Mus musculus: one gene and its partners. The protein of the gene in region 3 purifies or fractionates together with the protein of the main gene of each other region. This does not show direct contact. Links are inferred from orthologs where the notes say so. Each region holds a gene or a part of one and is shown on either strand. Other genes may lie near its edges.

Evidence for each region.
Region 1: the proteins of Mavs (region 3) and Nlrx1 purify together in Homo sapiens (affinity purification with western blotting; 4 studies listed by BioGRID and IntAct, with this or other methods). This does not show direct contact. The link is inferred for Mus musculus from reciprocal best matches to the Homo sapiens genes MAVS and NLRX1.
Region 2: the proteins of Mavs (region 3) and Eif2ak2 purify together in Homo sapiens (affinity purification with western blotting; 3 studies listed by BioGRID and IntAct, with this or other methods). This does not show direct contact. The link is inferred for Mus musculus from reciprocal best matches to the Homo sapiens genes MAVS and EIF2AK2.
Region 4: the proteins of Mavs (region 3) and Bag6 purify together in Homo sapiens (affinity purification with western blotting; 3 studies listed by BioGRID and IntAct, with this or other methods). This does not show direct contact. The link is inferred for Mus musculus from reciprocal best matches to the Homo sapiens genes MAVS and BAG6.
Region 5: the proteins of Mavs (region 3) and Trim25 purify together in Homo sapiens (affinity purification with western blotting; 3 studies listed by BioGRID and IntAct, with this or other methods). This does not show direct contact. The link is inferred for Mus musculus from reciprocal best matches to the Homo sapiens genes MAVS and TRIM25.

Annotation. Positions count from the first base shown.
Region 1 is NC_000075.6:44,265,386-44,269,696, forward strand, and holds the start of Nlrx1 (NLR family member X1), read right to left. Parts: upstream 2,803-4,311; 5' UTR 2,595-2,802; intron 481-2,594; exon of another isoform or gene 473-480; 5' UTR 429-472; coding exon 359-428; intron 1-358.
Region 2 is NC_000083.6:78,869,068-78,872,581, forward strand, and holds part of Eif2ak2 (interferon-induced, double-stranded RNA-activated protein kinase), read right to left. Parts: intron 2,203-3,514; coding exon 2,082-2,202; intron 1,667-2,081; coding exon 1,587-1,666; intron 1,469-1,586; coding exon 1,420-1,468; intron 444-1,419; coding exon 409-443; intron 1-408.
Region 3 is NC_000068.7:131,240,552-131,244,065, reverse strand, and holds part of Mavs (mitochondrial antiviral-signaling protein), read right to left. Parts: intron 2,187-3,514; coding exon 2,017-2,186; intron 948-2,016; coding exon 794-947; intron 1-793.
Region 4 is NC_000083.6:35,134,246-35,138,301, reverse strand, and holds the start of Bag6 (large proline-rich protein BAG6), read right to left. Parts: upstream 2,803-4,056; 5' UTR 2,784-2,802; coding exon of another isoform or gene 2,674-2,783; intron 2,655-2,673; exon of another isoform or gene 2,298-2,654; intron 2,188-2,297; coding exon of another isoform or gene 2,175-2,187; coding exon 2,067-2,174; intron 1-2,066. UniProt on the Homo sapiens protein: ATP-independent molecular chaperone preventing the aggregation of misfolded and hydrophobic patches-containing proteins.
Region 5 is NC_000077.6:89,012,889-89,016,402, reverse strand, and holds part of Trim25 (E3 ubiquitin/ISG15 ligase TRIM25), read right to left. Parts: intron 2,928-3,514; coding exon 2,865-2,927; intron 1,237-2,864; coding exon 1,213-1,236; intron 871-1,212; coding exon 772-870; intron 685-771; coding exon 586-684; intron 209-585; coding exon 1-208.

The DNA of each region.
Region 1 (4,311 bases), on a different chromosome or scaffold from region 3:
GCCATATGATTATTTGATTATCATCCATTTCCCCCCTCCATGAGAGTAGGACTCACATCTGGTTCTGTCACAATTATATACCAAGAACCTAACCCACGGTCTGGTGCAGAGCCAACATGCAGCTAATGTCTTGGATAAAAAAAAAAAAAATGAGATTGAAACAGCTAAAAGAGGGCCAGCTCTGCTCCCCTTGTCTAAGATGGGGGGGGGGTGGAAGAGGTGACATGCCAGAGGACCCCAGCTATATTACCACACAGCTGGAAATGGTGTCTGGATCCCTGCTGTTTTGGAAGCATCCGGACCCAGAAGCAGAAGGGGCGGGGGGGTGTCAAAGCAGAAACCTTCATTTCCTGCTTACCTGGTAGCTGGGGTGTTCTTCCCAGGCCAGAGCCCCAAGAGGTCCTGGGCAAATGGCAGCCCCACCTCATCCTAGGAAAACTGGAGCCTGGAACACTTAGAGCCACTTTCTTTCCTGTTGCCCTGCAAAAAGAAAAGTGTGAGTGGGATTGGCAAATGGTTCAAGGGGTAAATACTCCTGCTACCAAGCCTGAGGACCCACATTCAATCCCAGGAACCTACAGGGTAGAACTGTTCCCCAAAGTTGTCCTTTGACCTTTGCACACAGCCAAACCTGCACCCACCATAAACAAATAAATAAACACATAAAAGAAAAACGTAAGAACAAACAAAACACCAATAAAGTAAATTTAAAAAAAACAACCCAGTACTGTGAATGTACGGCCATCAAACCTCCCTTACATGTGCATACACACACACACATACACATGGCACATGCACACATATACACAGAGACAGGCACATGCACTGACAGACACACACATACACATGGCACATGCACACAAATACACAGAGACAGGCACATGCACTGACAGACACACACACACATACACATGGCACACGCACACACACAAATATACACACATACAAACACATACATACCTCTCTCTCTCTCACACACACACACACACACACACACACACCTCTCCCTCCCTCTCTTGCTTTCTCTCGAACCCTTACCCCTAGTATCTAAGAAGGGGCCATCTCCCAAGAGAGGCTCAGCCCTTCCTCATATGTATAAAAGAAGCCTTTGAAACCCTGCCCTGGCTTCTAGCTCTCCTCAGCAAAGATAATCCTAACCTGAGTGATTCTGTTTCATCTCCTACCAGCTCCTGCCTGGCACTGGAGTTTCACAGCTGCCTCTGCCCCGAGATCCAGCCCAATCATCTGCTTTTAGGTTTTATTTTTGCTTGACTGCTAGCAAGCTCAGATAGGAGCCCTGTGCTCACTCGCAGGCCTTTTCTGAGCCTGGCTTTTTTCCCCCACTCATCCTTATTCATTTCCGTCTGCTTTTGTGCCACGGCTGAGTTTTAATGGCTGTATCACTTTATCATCTCTCTGACTTTTATGTAAGCTGCCTGTAAGGCTGGCATAAATAATAAATGGATGTGTGAATGAACTTCCTGCTTGACACAAGGATGTGCCGCCTCTGCCTCACACTTCAGCCATGCCAACCTGGCCTCGTCAGCCCCCCTCCTCTGTTTACTTTGTGGCAGAGCTCCCCCAAGCCCTGGATTCACACACTATTCCCTTGCTCTTTATTCGAAGCCTTCCCCCACAGGCAGCGGTGGCAGTCTTACAGATCTCTCCCTACTGGTTTTTGCCAGCCTCTTCATTTCATCATTTCAGAGAGATCCTTCCAGACCTTACAAAACCCTACTTCCTCAAGTCCTCTGTGCCTCCACTGTTGGCCTATTCCACTCCCTCATCCCCTGCAGAAATCAGCTCCCTAAACTCCTAAGCTACTTGACAGCTATGAAACCCAGGCCCACACAAGCTATTTTTCCAGGTTTGCCCCCAGCCCACACCTCATCCTCCAAGACTACTATTGGATTCTTGCTCTCACCTTCCTAACTCAGTCCCTATACTTTGGTTAGCATTTACTTTATCAGAATCCCAGACACTCTTTGAAGATACTGCTCAAGGTACTCTTTCCCAAGGAGTCTATTCTGGCCCACCCCATCCCACAGCTCCTTGACATGCATATGTGGCTAGGCTGGCGTGGCCTCCCTCACTGCCGCTAGGGCAGAAGGGAAGCAAACTTAGGAAGAGGCTGCACTGAGCACAACTAGCCAGAGCAGGAGCTGGCTGAGGTCTTGAGTGGGCTGGAAACAGGAGACCTGGGGATTAGAGAAAGGTCCTGAAAACCTGACAAATCCCAGGATTGACATCAATCAGCCCCAGGTCCACTGAGTCAAGATAAGACGTGCAGGGTCTAGGATAATTCTCTAATCGAGCAGTTGTCATGGCACTAATCAAAAGAAGGAATGCAACAGAAGTTGCGGAGCTTTTCCACCAAACTGGGTCCCAAATAGCTTTCCCACTTCCACTTGGCTTGGGGGCGGGGGGGCAAAGTGAAGCTGCCAGTAGGCCTGTATTCAGCGCCCAAGCTCCGGCAGAATCCCCAGTGCCACTTGCCCGCTCCCGCGACCCAGCTGCCCGGCTCTTGCTTCCGGGGCCCAGCGCAGCCGTCCAGCCGGGGGCCGGAGGAGCGATCGACCCAGTTAGGCCTTTACCCAGGTTGCCTAGGCCCTGGTGCCCGTCGCCGTGGCCCGGAGGGAAGGAGGCCTGCGTCTCCCGCTGGCTCCGAGCTTCCCCGGCTCGCTCGGCACGGCGCGTCTAGGCCGCCTCCGCCCGCCAGCCAGCGCGCAGCCCGGCCCACTCTGGCACCCCGCCCGGTCTGGACACTGGAGGGCACTGAGCAAAGACCCGCAGAAGGGGGAATGGGGTGCTGGCGCGGGGCGGAGACTCCGGCCCCACCCGGTCTTCCCAGGGCCCAGGTTCCCGTACTGCCCCCTGCAGGTTCCCAAGCGTCAGGCCCAGCCGATGACCTCATCCACCTCCAAGTCTGGACTTGATGAAGCCCATTTTACAGATGAAGACACGGAAGCGTGGAAGAGAAAATGACTCGGGCGCAGGTCGTCCCTGTTGGAAGTAGATGATTCAGAAGAAAAGCTCCGGTCTAGGCCTTCCTTACACTTAGGTACTCATCCCCAGAGCATAATGACTTCCCTTCCTGCTCACAAACGTAGCTTACCTCCAGGCAGAAGACAGCCCTTCTTGGATCCTCCCCTTCTGTGTTATTCAGTCCCAAGACTCTAGAGGGGGGCCTCTGACCACTTTGGCCAGGAAGGAAGAATGGGTACCGACAGATAACTTCCTTCTCCAACCTGTTCTTCCTGTCTGACATCCCGTCATGGTTTTAGCCTTGGGACTTCCGTGTTCTAAAAACCCCAACCCTCATCCCTTCCATTCAAGGAACACCCAAGGTTCTCGTAACCAAGCTGACAGTGACCTTCAAACAAGGAACGCCTCCACATGCAAACACTGGTGTGCAATGTGCAAAGAACAGACATGAAGTAGAGAACTCAGAGAGAGAGGCTCCTCAGGGCCGGCTGGGAAGAGGCTTTTGTGGTCTACCCTCCATAGGAACAGAAGGCCAATGGTGATAATTTTATCTAGGCGATTGTCCATTTATTCCATGTGTGGTGTTAGGCCAGTACTGAACATTCACCCTGGGCTGCCAAGCAGAGCAAGTCATGCAGGGACCCACCATACTTGACAATGAATTTCTTCAGAAGTCGAGGCAAACTATTAGGAAAATTACTACCTGCCTCTAGCAGAGACTCTGACATTTGAACTGGCTGTTAAAAAGTCAGAATGAAAAAAGTCACTGGGCAGCATGGAAAAGGGCATATTTGCATTTTAAGAGATGTTCTTCTAAGATTGGAGAATGGCTCGGCCGTTAGGAGCACTGGCTGCTCTTCCAGAGGGCCTGGGTTCCATTCCCAGCATCTACACAGCAGCTCACAACCATCTGTAACTCCATTCTCAGTGGATCTGATGCCCTCTTCTGGCCTCTTCAGGCACTGCATGTATATGGTACACAAATACACATGCATGCAAAATACCCATACACATATTTATTTGTTTGTTTATTTGTTTATTTATTTATTGGTTTTTCGAGACAGGATTTCTCTGTATATCCCTGGCTGTCCTGAAACTCACTTTGTAGACCAGGCTGGCCTTGAACTCAGAAATCCACCTGCCTCTGCCTTCCAAGTGCTGGGATTAAAGGCGTGCACCACCACCGCCCGGCTGAACATTTTTTTGCACATATTTTTTTAAATATTAAAAATAAAAGAGTCTGGGTAGAGGTAGCACATGCCTTTAATTTCAGTACAAGAAGGCAGAGGCAGGTGGATCTCTGAGTTCAAGGCCATCCTGGTCTAC
Region 2 (3,514 bases), on a different chromosome or scaffold from region 3:
CAGAACATCCTTAGGACAAAGGTCTCCTGGGTCCCCCCTCCCTCTGGCCCTCATGCCTCTCTGATAGTGAGCCATCTGCAGTGAGATGTTCAAAGGTCACCAGAATTAGCCCCACAAAGCCATGCCACCACCCTGTCTCCCCACCCTCAAGCCCACCACTGGCGCCTGCTACATCATCACAGGGCTTTTGTATCTACAGATACAAAGATGTGAGTGTGTAAGTGTGTGGTGTGTTTCTGTGTTTCTCTCCTGCTAAATTGGTTTCCAGCTCTCCACTGCTTCTGAGACTACCACCCAAACACACACGTACAATGTTCTGTCAGTGCCACAGTCAACAGGTGAGTCTGATAGACGGAGTCTGAAAGAGATTCCTAGTCTGAAATATGTTCCGTGCACAATGATACTCACACTCCTGATTTCCTTTTATTTTCTCCGAGACCGTTCTGCAACAAAAGGAAAAGGAAGCTGTTTCAGATGAGGAGAGCCATCGTCTTAGTTTGGGAGCTGGCCCCGTGACCAGGTTCCTTACATCAGCTTCCTAGGTCGGCCATTTCTCTGAGTCGCTACCAACGCTTACTGCAGGATTGCCAAGCAGCTGTGGCATGCCATCAAATGGCCATTTGGAGGTGCACTTTCCTCATCGCTAGGGGAATGAAGCATCTTTTCCCACTCGCTGCCCACTTAGGTGTAGCACATCCCTTCAGACCATATCTGTTCTACTGGATCAACTGTCTTTTTCTTACAGACTTGTAGTTCTTAGTAAATAGATGGATTTTTACAACAAATTGCCTGATTTTTAAGTTTAGTTCTGATTCTAAGTAGGGGTGGAACTACACCAAATATTATTCAGTTGAATGGACAAGGAAAAAGAAAGTAGAAACGTTAAAAAGAACAAAGGTAAGGGCCAGGAGAGAGTTCAGTAGCAGAACTTGGCTAGAATACCTATTTATAGCTAGAATTTGAATCCCAGCACAGGGAAGGATGCAAGGAGGGAGGAGTAGGGGTAGGGGATGGAGAGTGTGAAGGAAAGAGGAGAGGGAGGAAGGGAGAGAAGGAGAGAGGGAAGGAGGGAGGGGGGAAAGAGGAAAGGAGGAAGGGAGAGAGGAAAGGGAAGAAGGGAAAAGAAAAAGGAAGGAAGGAAGGGAGGGAGGGAGGGAGGGAGGGAGGGAGGGAGGGTTACAAAGTGGGTGGGAAAGGATGGGGGAGAGTGGGGAAGAATTTTGTCCTTGAAGAAGAGAAGTTAATATGAATGAAAGTTAATAAAGAGAACAGAAAAGAGGCAATGACTGTTAATATCATGATCTAGTAAGGACATGAAACTGAAATGTAAAACTTATGAAATGATCATAATCATATGGAAAGATCACATCTAAGTGAGGAGAGAAAGGGAAATGGGAAACTTCAAGGCTGGTATCCTACCGTAAACACGTTCTCTGAGGAAAAACTTCCAGGTGCTGACTGGGAAACACTACAAGAAAAGGGGAACCTTGATGAATTCAGTCTGGTGGGGAGGGGGGGATCAGGACCCACAGCCTCAGACATGCCACACCCTCAGCCTGCCCAGCACTGTTGCCACCCAAGCTCACCCATTACTTGTCATAGACGAGCTGCTGGAAAAGCCACTGAATGTAGATGTGACAACGCTAGAGGATGTTCCGGCAGTTTTCTGAAAGAAGGGACAGCCCTTAGCATGTTCACAGGGTGCTAACTGGTCTCCCTGAGGCAGTCCATCACTGTTCACAGGGAGCTAACTGGCCTCTCTGAGGAGGTCTGTCACTGGGTACACACTACTGCACATACTCTCCCCGTGGCCACCAACTCCACAATTGCAATCACAAAATTAACACATTTTTTCATGGACGTTTGGGCTAAGTTTTAAAAAGCAACCCCGAGTTGCTATAGAACTTTTATGTCTCAGACCCTCGTGGCCCCATGGTTCGTGGATCATTGTTGGTACACAGGATGGAGGGACCATTCTTTACTCAATAGGCATATGCCCGCAGTATAAAGACAAAGCAATCTGAAGTCAATTTCAAAGGGAATCATGATTGTACAAATTAAATCTAACTGGCAACACATACCGGCGGGCTCTTTAACAGCTTCTGATAGGCTTCTTTCGCAGCCAACTGCTTTGCCTCCTGTTTGGTGACACCTGAACCAGTACCATACATTGTCTGCCCAATTTTGCATTTACAAATAAATCTAGGAAAAATTAGAGTATTCATTCACATATCAAAAATATCGTCCATCTAATGCACACTTTGAAAAGGCCCCTACAGACAAATAAAGGCCTGAAAATCAGACTAAGAATTTTTTTTATTTAGATTTATATTTCCTACCTCACATAATTTAATCCCCACAAAATGGCCATCAATCTAATGTAAATAACCAGGAGTAGCTTATATCCTTGTCTACATTTCCCAGGCAACATCTAAGTCTTTCTTGCCTCATTGAAAGACCTGACAGCAAAACACCAAGTGATGATTTAAAACAAAAACAAAAACAAAAAACCAAATGGAATCTTTCCAATCCCAAGTAGAGGGAAGAGAAGAGGGAAAGGTCTAGCACCTTTTCCAGAGCTGTTCAAATAGGAGAGAAAAACAGTTGGTAGGATGGGGCTCACAGGGGCTAAGCTCTGAGGGTACAGTACTGTGGCCTTTGGGGAAGACAGCACACTGACAATGTGCTCAGGACCTCCAGGTTCTAACCCTTGTTCACACAGCATATCCCTCACAACTGCGCTCTTCACACAGTAGGACTAAGACCGGTCCTGCTGATCCATGCTATCCGTTTATCCAAATGTGAGGAGCAGAGACTCAAGACAAGCAGCTCTCTAACCGAAACTGATATAGAGTCGTTTCCATGTACAGACAGAATGGTTCTTACACAGTTGCAGCTGCTGTGGCCTCAGGGAAGGGAAGAGCTCTTCGTCCCTGATCCATGGGCATCCTGAACTTTTTAAAAAAGTTTAGTGGACTAATTGCCCAGATGCACCTCCAAAAACCAGCAGTCCCCTCTTATTGGCAGGGGGCTGGCGGATGACTGAAACCATGGATTACATTGAACTCATTGTTCTCCTTAAACATTCCTATGATAAAGTTCATCTCATAGCCTAGATAGAAAAAGACTAACAGCCAATAATAAAATAGAACTATTAGTGCAGTATGCCCTACTTCTAGGTTTTTGAAATGGTCTTCCTCCATCTGGTTGACCAAAGATAACTGAAATTTCAAAGTAAACCAGCCAAATTGGATTGTGATAGACTCCGCAGCCTCAAACTTTTTATTTTTTTAATTTTCAAATTTATTTTTTATTTTGTGTGCATTGGTTTTTGCCTGCATGTATGTCTGTGTGGGAACGTCAGATCTTACAGTTACATACAGTTGTGAGCTGCCCTGTGGGTGCTGGGAATTGAACCTGGGTCCTCTGGAAGAGCAGTCAGTGGATGGTTGAGAAACACCAGTAGAATAGTAGGCATTTTATGTACTCCCAATCCCGTTTCTGCCACCCCAGC
Region 3 (3,514 bases):
GACAATACTACACCCCCTAGTTCTTTCTAAACAGTTCCACCAACTGGGGACCAAGTATTCAGATGTAGAAGGCGATGGGAGCCATTCTCATTCAAACCACCACAGCTGGGAACTAGAAATCCCCTTGTGAAGAGCAGTGTTTAAAAGCTCCTTCATCAGCTACTATTGTATGTTATCTTTCCTGTCTTCAGGTCCTGGACAATCACTACCTTTTACCTGAGTGCAGAAACAGCCTTAGCTCTCTCTCATATGCAGCAATGTACAAAAATACACACTCACAGGGCAAAAAACTACACCCTCCAATGTGCTTTTAATCTGGGCTGGCCAGATTAAAATTTTAATCTATTAATTAAAATTTTAATCTATTTTGACCACAGAACAGAGCAGGAGAAATAGGCCAGTTCTGAGCCTATGCTCAGAGCTCTGCTTCTCTTTTACCTAGAGCCTTGCCCAGATGTCATGAGTTGGGTTTTTGTCCTAGAAGAAAAGAGAATGAAGAGGTACCAGGTAATGGATAGTAGAAGAACACATGTATATGTCAGTAAACACCTGAGAGAAAACTCAGCGAGATAAGAAGACCTACCCAGCTGAGACATGTGCACATAAATGACTGCATTTGAAGCTGCTGCTGCCACTACTGCACACACAGGCGTGCACACAGAACATACTCTGTGAAGCGAATACCTTTTATTTCTACCCTGCCTCCTGTCTAAGGAAGGCCATATGGTAACTGTAACCCTAACCTTCCTGCGAGGGATCCAAGAGACCCTGTAATTCCACACTCTATGCATACTTGCTGCGTGGGCGCCACCCAGTTCTGGTTCTTGCTCTTGATGCTCTCTGGAGGGCTGAGGGCTGAGAGCCTGCTGGTTAGGAGAGGGTATCAAAGAGCCACCAGACATCCTCGCGACGGCCCCGGAGTTGGTCTGGAGGAGTTGCTCTGAATTCTGAAACAGAGGAAATGAGATAAAGCAGTTGCTTCTCCCAGGAGCTGACAAAGGGCAGCAGATATTTATAGGGTATCTCCTACAGGCCTCAGCTCCTCCTCTAGAGCCCAGGATCCTCAGAAACCTTCACATATAAGAGTGAAGTAGCTCTTCAATATTATACTTGCCAAATATAAGTCTTCAATCCTAGTACCTACTTGGTTTTGCTGTTGCTGTTTTGTTTTTGGATCAGATCTTATGTTCACCCTAGCCTTGAACTTACCAAGGGTGACTATGAACTTTGCATTCACCTGCTTCTCACCTCCTGAGTGTCAGGCTTAGAGGTATATGTCATCATGCCCAGTTTCTATGGTGCTGGATACTGAGCTCAGGGATATGTGTATGCCAGATCAGCACTGCACCAACTGAAAGCTACATCCCCAGCCTCTCGGGATGACTTCAAGTGCTTTAAAAAACATAAAAACAAAACAAAACAAAACAAAACAAAACAAAACAAAACAAAACAAAAAGCAGGCACTGCCCAAGTTTCCTCCCCATGTGTGTGTCTAGCTCTGTAACCACTGCCCTTTCTTCAGCAGTCTCTGCACAGACCCTATGGCTTCAGACCCATTGTCTAGGCCTAGGGTTTCTTCTATACCCCATGGCTAACTCACTTCATCTCAGTAGAACTAGTTATCTTCCAGATACCTGACTTTACAGTTGATAAGAGCTCTGTCACCACCCATCCATGACTTCCTGAGCCCTCATATCACCTCCCTCACATTCAAATCTGGTTTAACCTCCAGTTTTTTGTTTTTTTGTTTTTTTGTTTTTTTTTTTTTACCCAGCTCAACATGTCACATGACCACTGCAAAGACCTCAAAACCATGACCTCTTAGCTAGCTAAAGACAGAATGCTAAGGGGTCCACAGGTATGGCCAGCAGTTAGGTAGCCAGTTAGGTAACCCCAGCATTCTTAGCAGGAAAGATTTTCAGGAGGTAGGAAGGGGCTTCTGGAAGGCTGGGTGGGCAGAAGTGGGCAGACAGGCACACAAAAGCAGGCAGCTTAAAACAGACTGTGAGGACTTACCTCTACTGGGGACTCTGGTGGCTGGGTGTCCTGGACAGGCTTGGGGCAACTTGGTGTCTCTCGTAAGCCATGGTCAGGGATGTTGTGACCTGGCGCAAATGCAGAGGGTCCAGAAACCGCAGCAGGAAAGTCTGGTAACTGCAGTGGCTCTAGGGAGCGGAGTGAGGTCCCTAAGGTACAAAGATATAGTGATGTCCAGAAAGAATCAGAGGTACCTTGGTAATAGAAGAGGCCTGGATGCTTGGGGCATCTAGTCTCCCTTCAATAACTCCATGACCTGATGTGGGATGGATTCTGTACTGGCTAGTTTTGTGTCAACTTGACACAGGCTGGAGCTATCACAGAGAAAGGAGCTTCAGTTGAGGAAATGCCTCCACGAGATCCAGCTGTAAGGCATTCCCTCAATTAGTGATCAAGGGGGAAAGTCCCCTTGTAGGTGGTACCATCTCTGGGCTGGTAGTCTTGGTTCTATAAGAGAGCAGGCTGAGCAAGCCAGGGGAAGCAAGCCAGTAAGGAACATCCCTCCATGGCCTCTGCATCAGCTCCTGCTTTCTGACCTGCTTAATTTCCAGTCCTGACTTCCTTTGGTGATGAACAGCAGTATGGAAGTGTAAGCTGAATAAACCCTTTCCTCCCCAACTGCTTCTTGGTCATGATGTTTGTGCAGGAATAGAAACCCTGACTAAGAAAGATTCATTAGACATGATAAGCATCAATGGGGAGGGAATAGGAGGAAAAGAAGAGCTGGGAAAGACAAGAAAGGTGGCACCAAAGATGGGGGAGCAGGGCACAGGGCTCTCACCAGCCTGACTGTTATACTCACTTTCCTCCACTGTCCCAAGGCTTTCTCACAGCTGTCATCCCCAACCGACCCCTGCCACAGCCCATCTCTGACCCTACCATAGCCATTACTTATTTGAGAGAGCACTGCAGCATCCACAAATGAAGAGACCAACATGGGAAGAAGGGAGGAAAAGAGAAACAAAAGCAAACATGGTGTGTTCAAGATTGGCTTGGTTTTTCTTCCCAGATCTTCTCTTCAAGCTCTAATACTAAACCCCCTCTGGTCACATGACGTGGCAGTGACATTGAGAGGACTTAAGGGGCCACCAGGCAGTTGGGTGTTATCATTAGAACCTGGATGCTCTCAGAGCAACCTTGGGGCAGGGAATAGAAATGGAGAGTAGGGAAAGTGACTGGGTGTAGACTCTGTACTCTCTACGCTGTATAGATGGAGACAGAAGGAAACACCAGAGCCACAAACATGATGGCAGGTGCCTTGCGCTGGGCAAAGGGAAGATGTGGAACCCCAGCTAAGTGCAGCCACACATGAGGGATGTGGCCATTTGCCCCACTGTGACAGACTCAAAAAATAAGGAATATGGTCAAAGGACATATAGCTAGTGAGTGGCTCAGCTGGATCTAAATCCAGGTATATGCTACAATGGAGAGTGATGGAGACAGAAAGGCAGAAGGTCCAAGGGTGAAGGAAGGGGGA
Region 4 (4,056 bases), on a different chromosome or scaffold from region 3:
AGATGCCAACATCAAAATCAGACAGTCTCACTAGCCAACTATATCAACAGGCCGATATTTATTATGTCCATAAATAAATAAATAAATAAATAAATAAATAAAAGAGTGTGGCTAGAGAAATGGCTCGGTGATTAAGAGCTCATACTGGTCTTGCAGAGGACTCCAGTTCAATTTCCAACATCCACGTTGGGCAGCAGCTCACAACTACTGGTAAACACAGCTTTAGGAGACTCAGTGTCTCTGGCTTCTATGAGCGTTTGTACCCAGAGGCAGAGACACATACCAATACATAATTAAAAATAAGTGGGACGTGGTGTGTATGCCTCCAGCATTTGAGAGGCAGAAGCAGGTGGATCTCTTGTGAGTTTGAGGCCTGCCTGCTTTACGTAGTGAGTTCTAAAATAGTCAGACCAATGTACAGAGATTAAATTAATTTAAAAAAAAATCCAAATCACAACAACAGTAAATAACTAAAACCTATACGAAAGAAGCCGAATAGCTCTCCCTTTCTCCCTCTCTGCTATCCAGTATCTAGAGATACCAGTGATCCTTTTCTAAACTAAAACAATAGCAGGTGTTCAAGGCCATAATCTCAAAGCTGAATGCAGATAGACAGGCACTGGCACAGCCACTAATCTCAAGGATACAGAGCTAGGTGGATCTGACTACCAGGACAGCCATGACTGCAAAGTGAAACCCTGACTTAAAACACAAAATGAAGCAAGCAGGGCGTGGTGGCGCACGCCTTTAATCCCAGCACTCCGGAGGCAGAGGCAGGCGGATTTCTGAGTTCGAGGTTGTTACAACCATCTGTAACAAAGTAGGGGCTATAGTTTGGGGCTATAGTTTCCTAACTTCCACATGAAGAAAAGGCCACAGGTTGCAGAGTCTGACCTTCTCAGGCACCAAGTGCACACAAGGTGCACATGTGTATTTCCAGAGAAAGCACTCACATATAAAATAAAAACAAATACAATCTTCTAAAAGAAACCAAAAATACACACAACCCAAAACAACCATTACCACCATGGGGTTGGGAGGCAGGGTCTGGAAAGATAACTAACAAAGGTCAGAAAGGAACACACAATATACGGTTCAGTAGTAAGTGCTCTGTGCTAGGTCCAAGGTTCAGTACCCATCAGAACCACATACATGCAATAAATAAATAAATAAAAATAAGGGAAGGTGGAAAAAAAGAACAAACAAACCAAAAATAGCAATAGCATACAACTGAAATTCCAAGCTTGGAAAGCAGAGACAGGAGGATCATGAGTACAAGACCATCAGTTCTAAGACATTTCACTATGTAAGAAAAAAAGGACCAAGCCAAGTCAGATGTGGTCCTCTGTTATAGTGCATATAATCCTAGCACATAGACGACCACATAGACGACGAAGGCACAGTGGTCAGAGGCCAAAGTTAGCCTGGGCTATAGGAGATCCTGTGCCCACCTCCCGGAAAGACATTAAGTAATTCTTGGTAGGGCCAAATTAACTATCACATGTACCTACAGACAAAAGTCTATGTGGCTTTTTAAATATCTGCTTTAAAAACCACAAAAATGACCTCCTCATGGTGGTTGTCTCAAAGAATTATGCAGTGGCCACAGTGCACTAAGGTCAGGAGGCTCAAACCATGCCTCAGCTATTGACAAGTCTACTTCACAGTGGATGAAAGCAGGTTTCCTTAATCTTATAAAAATAGTACCAAGCTGTGAACACTCTGTTTAAAAAAAAAAAAAAAAAACCCACACCAAACTTGTCTGAGGTCCCTGTGACACACCATTCTTGTCCAAGGTGCCCCCTGTGTTGTGTCTGGTCCCAAAGGCCAGAGTCATGTCTGTCTCTTTGGGCTGGGGTCTGCACAGAACAGGTATAGATCCCTCCTCTCTACTTTCCTCTTCACTGAGTTCTGTCAAAGTGAAGACAGACTCCAAATCGGCCTCACTCAACAGTAACCACATCCCCTCACTCAATAGGTACATCAGATGTCCTATCCAGTAAGGGACAAAAGAGTCAATGACAAGAAAATCAGGCGCATCCTTCTACAAAGTACTGGTGTCTCACCTGGGCCCCCACAATAAAAGTCCGAGTCTGAGAGTCCAGGGTCTTCACCAGTACCTCCAGGCTGTCAGGCTCCTCCATAGCGGTACTGGCACTATCACTCGGCTCCATGGCCGACAGCTCTCTAAAGAAGAACGAGGGGGGGGGGTTCGCTGTCGGTCGCACTGTATTTTATACACCCGGAAGCCTCTCTGGACCCAATCTCCGCCCCAATCCCTTCAAAGTTTCTCATACACAAGCAGATATATTCATCCTCCTTCTCATCCCCCCTTTTTGATTCGGGGGCACAGGAACAGAAACACAAAGGGTAGGAGATCGACGGCATAGGGAGATGAAGGACGAGAGGTGGGAGGGGCTCCACCATGCCAATCACAATAGGGAGAGCCAGTTGGGCTAGGAATCAGGGAAGCAAGCACGAGACCGACCAGAGGCCAGTGTCATCACCGGTCGCGACCGAGCAAGCGCCCGAGAGATCGGGAAATCCTAGGACAACGCGAGGGGTGGGGGGAGGGTCGCGCTAGACTCGGCAGAGAAAAGTGGCTTCGCGCACGCGCAGCACCACAATCGAACCCGCCTAAATCACCACCGACCCAAGACCGCGGACACTCACGGGAGGCTGGACGGGCTCGCTGACCGCCCCCGCCTTCCGCCTCCGCCTCTCCTCGGTATTCCAGCAACACGACTTAACCAACACGCGACCAAACACATACAAACACACATACACAGCCCACCACCCTGTGGCTCCGCCCCCGACGTCCCCACGGTACCGTCACTTCCGGTCTCCCCCAACCTGGCACCAAGGGCCACTTCCGTTTCCCCGATCGTATTTGGGGGGATCTCGAGGCGGTACTTCCGGCTCCCCCAGTCTCCCCCGATTTACTTTCGTGGGGCACGATGAGAAAGTCCACAGCCCCGAACAGTGAGTTTCTGGGGGGCGAGACGGGCCCGGGCCGGCCGAGATGGGAGGGAGCCGACCACCCGGAGGAGCCGCCGCCGCCGCCGTCGTCGCCCGGGGGACCGCACTGCGCCTGCGTGAGCGGCGCCACGCGTGCGCACACTCTAAGTACTTCCCCGCCCCCCTCCGGCTATGTGCGTTTCTTCCCTGCGCGCGCCAGAGTGCAACCGGACCGGGGTGGCTACTGGAAACGCCTAAAGAAAAATGACTGAGTGAGATGCTGTAATTTCCTCGAGAAAAATTGTGAGACTTGTGTGGAGTGCACCTCGTTAATCAACGTCCCATCTTGATGGTCAGAGACGTTTACAGGCACAATTCTAACTACCTAAAACTCTGCAAGACCTCTGGTCCTCCCATCATTTCTGTTCTTCCGGAAGCCACTCTTTTTCGTGGACGGCTGGTGGCGTTCCGCGGGCTGTGTTTGCTTGTGCCCGACTCTAGTTCCTGGCGGGATTAGGCCGGTTGGGCTCTTTGCAGACTTTGAGCATCCTGTTTATTGAGATCTCCGAGGGAGTGCCATGTTTAAGGATAAAAAAAAATTCTATTGCATTTTTTGGTTTTGAGACATTTCTGCTGCTTTTTAAGAGCTTTGTAGAAAAAAAGAAAGAAAAGAGAACGGGTGCCTTGCGGATCAGATTAAAGGACAAGACTTTAAGAAGGGACCAAGGGAATGGAGAGATGGCTCAAGAGATGAAGAGCACTGTCTGCTCTTCCAGAGGTCCTGAGTTCAATTCCCAGCAACTACATGGTGGCTCACAACCATCCGTAATGAGATCTGACACCCTCTTCTGGTGTGTCTGAAGACAGCGACAGTGTACTCACATACATAAAATAAATAAATCTTTAAAAAAGGAAAAGAAAAGCCGGGCGTGGTGGTGCACACCTTTAATCCCAGCACTTGGGAGGCAGAGGCAGGCGGATTTCTGAGTTCGAGGCCAGCCTGGTCTACAAAGTGAGTTCAAGGACAGCCAGGGCTACACAGAGAAACCCTGTCTCAAAAACAAACAAATAAAATAAAATAAATAAAATAAAATAAAA
Region 5 (3,514 bases), on a different chromosome or scaffold from region 3:
CAGAAGTTGTTCTTCTGTAGTTCCACCTCCCAGTAGTGAATGCCGTTCTTGTAGCAGTGCAGCCCCAGGACCTGAGAGCAGTAGGTGAACCTCTGGGGATGGGACCGGTAGTGCTGGAGCCCATCGGACACAGAGGCGGTGGTGTACTTGTTTGACAGAGACACTTTGTTGTGGGCGGTATTGTAGTCGAAGATGACTTTCACGAAATCTGAGAAGACATTCCCCCCCCCCAGGGAATTTTGACAAGGGACCCAAGGTGCCTGCACTTTTAAAGCTTTTCTCGTCTGTTAACATTTATTTTTCTCCATCCACACATCCACATGCCCATCCATCCATCCATCTACTCTCCCATTCACCCAATCATCTAACTACCCATCCATCTACCCACCTACCCTCCCATCCAACTAACCATTCATCTATCAGAACACTTACTCAGATACACACATCACCTAGCTACCTACTCCCCAATGGGTGCATTGACCACCCATTCATCTACCTATTCATCCACCCACCTACCTGCCCATCCATCCATCCATCCATCCACCCAGGTATGCATGAAGGCACCCACAGAGCCAAGCTACTCACACTCCAGAAGCTCCGTTCTGGACTTGGTTAAGAAGTTTTCTAGCACCTTAGCCTTGACTCCTACAGAGTCTGGCTGTGCAGCACTGGCTTTGGGTGCGGCTAGAAGACAAAACAGAGAATAGTAATCAAGATGGGAACTCAGGACAAATGGTACCTAATTCCCTGGCGCCTGTGCACACCACTCACCATCAGGGGAAGTTGCTTTTGAATCCAGTGATTGGCCAGGAGCTCCAAAGGTGGGCAACTTGTTAGGTGAGAAGTGGGAGGGAGGGCCGGGAGCAACAGCTGGGAGGTGAGGAAGGACAACCATGGAATAGCAATACAACCCAGAGGACTAGATGACTTCTCTTCCCTTCCAAGATGACTCTCAACTTCCACAGACACATCTGACCAGCCAGGGCCACACAAGTGAGTCCAGACGAGGGCTCTTTATCTGCCCTACCCATTTACCATCCACCCATTCAACTATCTACCCACGCACCCCCATGGCCATCCTCACGGGCACACATTTGTAAGAACAGGTGCATCGCAGGACCCTTGTTAAAGCAGGTCAATTGTTGCTATCAATGTTAGCTCTAGACTCACACAAGTCACGAGAACAAAAAGATACACAGATGCACAACTTACGGGTTTTCTTGGTCTTCTTTTCTTCTGAAAAGGAAAGATTTTCAGATTAGGATATTTTAAAGCATGTTGTCACACACACAAGAGACCATAGTAGCACTCACCAGCATACATCTGACTCATACCAGTTAAAGAAGGATGGATTAACTTAAACTATAAGGCAGTGGCTGATAACACACATCAACAAGTGTAGGAACCCTCACCAGGGTCATGGTGGGTGGGTATACACTGTCTGTTAGGAAAGAGGAAGGAATTTTCTCTGAAGTGTTTCTGTTGATTTGGGTAATGGTGACATGGAACTCATTTGTCAGAATGTATTTGACTGTACATTTAGGGTCTGTGCATTTTACTACTGGTAGATGAGAGCCCTACAAAAGAAAGAAAGAAAAAAAAGCAAGCAAAAAAAGAGAAAGTCAGAAAATAAATAGAGCTGGTTAAGTATCACAATAGGGCTTTAAGAACACCCTGCTTTCTTTCCCAAGGGCTCCTCTTCTCCATCCAAAAAAAAAGCACAAGGTCACCAGGTGTTCCAGCCCTCAGAGGAACCGATACCGACAGCCCACACGTTAGACAAGGCACAAGCAACAATGCAACGCACGGAGTCCTCTCATCCTCCCGACACTCACTGGCACCAGGGCACCCTGATGCCATTTCATACTGACCTTGGGGAAACAGTCACAGCTTCCCTTAAGGGTTATGGAGAGCTCTCACAACCGGTATGTCCCCATGGGAACATCACTTATTTTCTTAAAATCCCATGGGCTCCAATGTCACTGTTTTCCAAATGTGAATGACAAGGAGACTCACACTCCTAACTCCATAACCACATTCTCAATGACAGGGACACCATTGTTGTTGAGGGGATGGGAACAGGGGTAAAATCCAATGCTTGAGGTGTGGGATGTAAAAAGTCTTCTCTTCTCTTCTTTTTCTGAGGCAGGGTCTCTCTACATAGCCCTGGCTGTCCTAGAAGTCACTATGTAAACCAAGCTGGCCTCAAACCCATAGAGATCCACCTGCCTCTGCCTCCCAAGTGCTGGGATCAAAGGTGTGCGCCACCAGTCTGCTTACCCGTTTTATAAATAAACCAATATACACTGTGCGTGTGTAGAATCAAATTCTCACTGGTAGGGATAATTAGGGAAACATTTTCTATAGCTCACTGGGAGAGGGCAATAGGGGGAAAGAGAGAGAAACACGGGGCTGGGAAGATGGCTCAGTGGGTGAAGCAGATGCCATGCAAGCCTGAGAACCTGAGTTCAGATCTTCAGACCCCAGATAAGGTTAGATAGGCTAGCATGCGTCTGAAATCCCAGAAGTCTTACATACAGCAAGACGATGGCTGTCTATCACAGGATCCCCAGAAGCCTCCAGGCCAGAAAGCCTGACTTATACCATGGCACGTAAGAGGCCCTGCCTCAAATAAAGTGGAGGGTAAGGACTGACACCCAAGGTTGACTCCCGATTTCCACATGTGTATCACAGTGCATGCACACACACACACACACACACACACACACACAAACACACACGTGTGAAAAACTGAGATGGTCTGTGACCATCTAGAAGCTTCAGTAGCCCCTGTGACAGTTTCAACCATGCATCTGCCAGCCACAGCCACACGGACACCAGAAAAAAAACGGGGGGCTACTTACGAATGGTCTTCTTCGAAGGTTGTACGGGTTTAAAAGTGGACTGTGTCTGGTCTCCCTTGTTACCTGTGCCGGAGAAAAGAGTCCAGCTATATGTGGATCCTCCCCACCAACTCTTAAGAGCCAAGTTTGTTGAGGCTGGGGCAGAACATCCACACAGACAGCCCTCCCACTGCATGTCCCATTCAGTCATTTGCAAGAGACAGAATCAGTGTGAGGCCGACCAATTGTGTTTGTTCCTTCTCTCCTCTGCTTCAGATACAGATGGGAAAAAGTCTCCTCCATCAGCACGCAGCTCCGGGACTTCTCTGGTTGCTCTCTCTCTCTGGCCATACATCAGGGAGAATGTGAACTTAATGGCTGATGGGACCCCTGAGTGAGGTCAAGGTGTCTGGTGTGGAGTGGAGGCTAAGTCAATGTCAGATTCTTGCCCCCTGGTCCTTTCCTCCCTCTCTTGGCAGTCTAGTTACTCATACAATCCATGTGAAGCATTTCCAGAACCTTCCATGAGGTTCAGAAGTACTTACCTGCTTCAGAAGCCCTTCTGCGAGGACACTGGGATGGCCACAGTGACGTTCAGGGCCATCACCTGCATCCCCAAAGAACAGAGTCCTACTCCCAAGAGTGGAAATGACTCTGTCAAGATGGCTCTG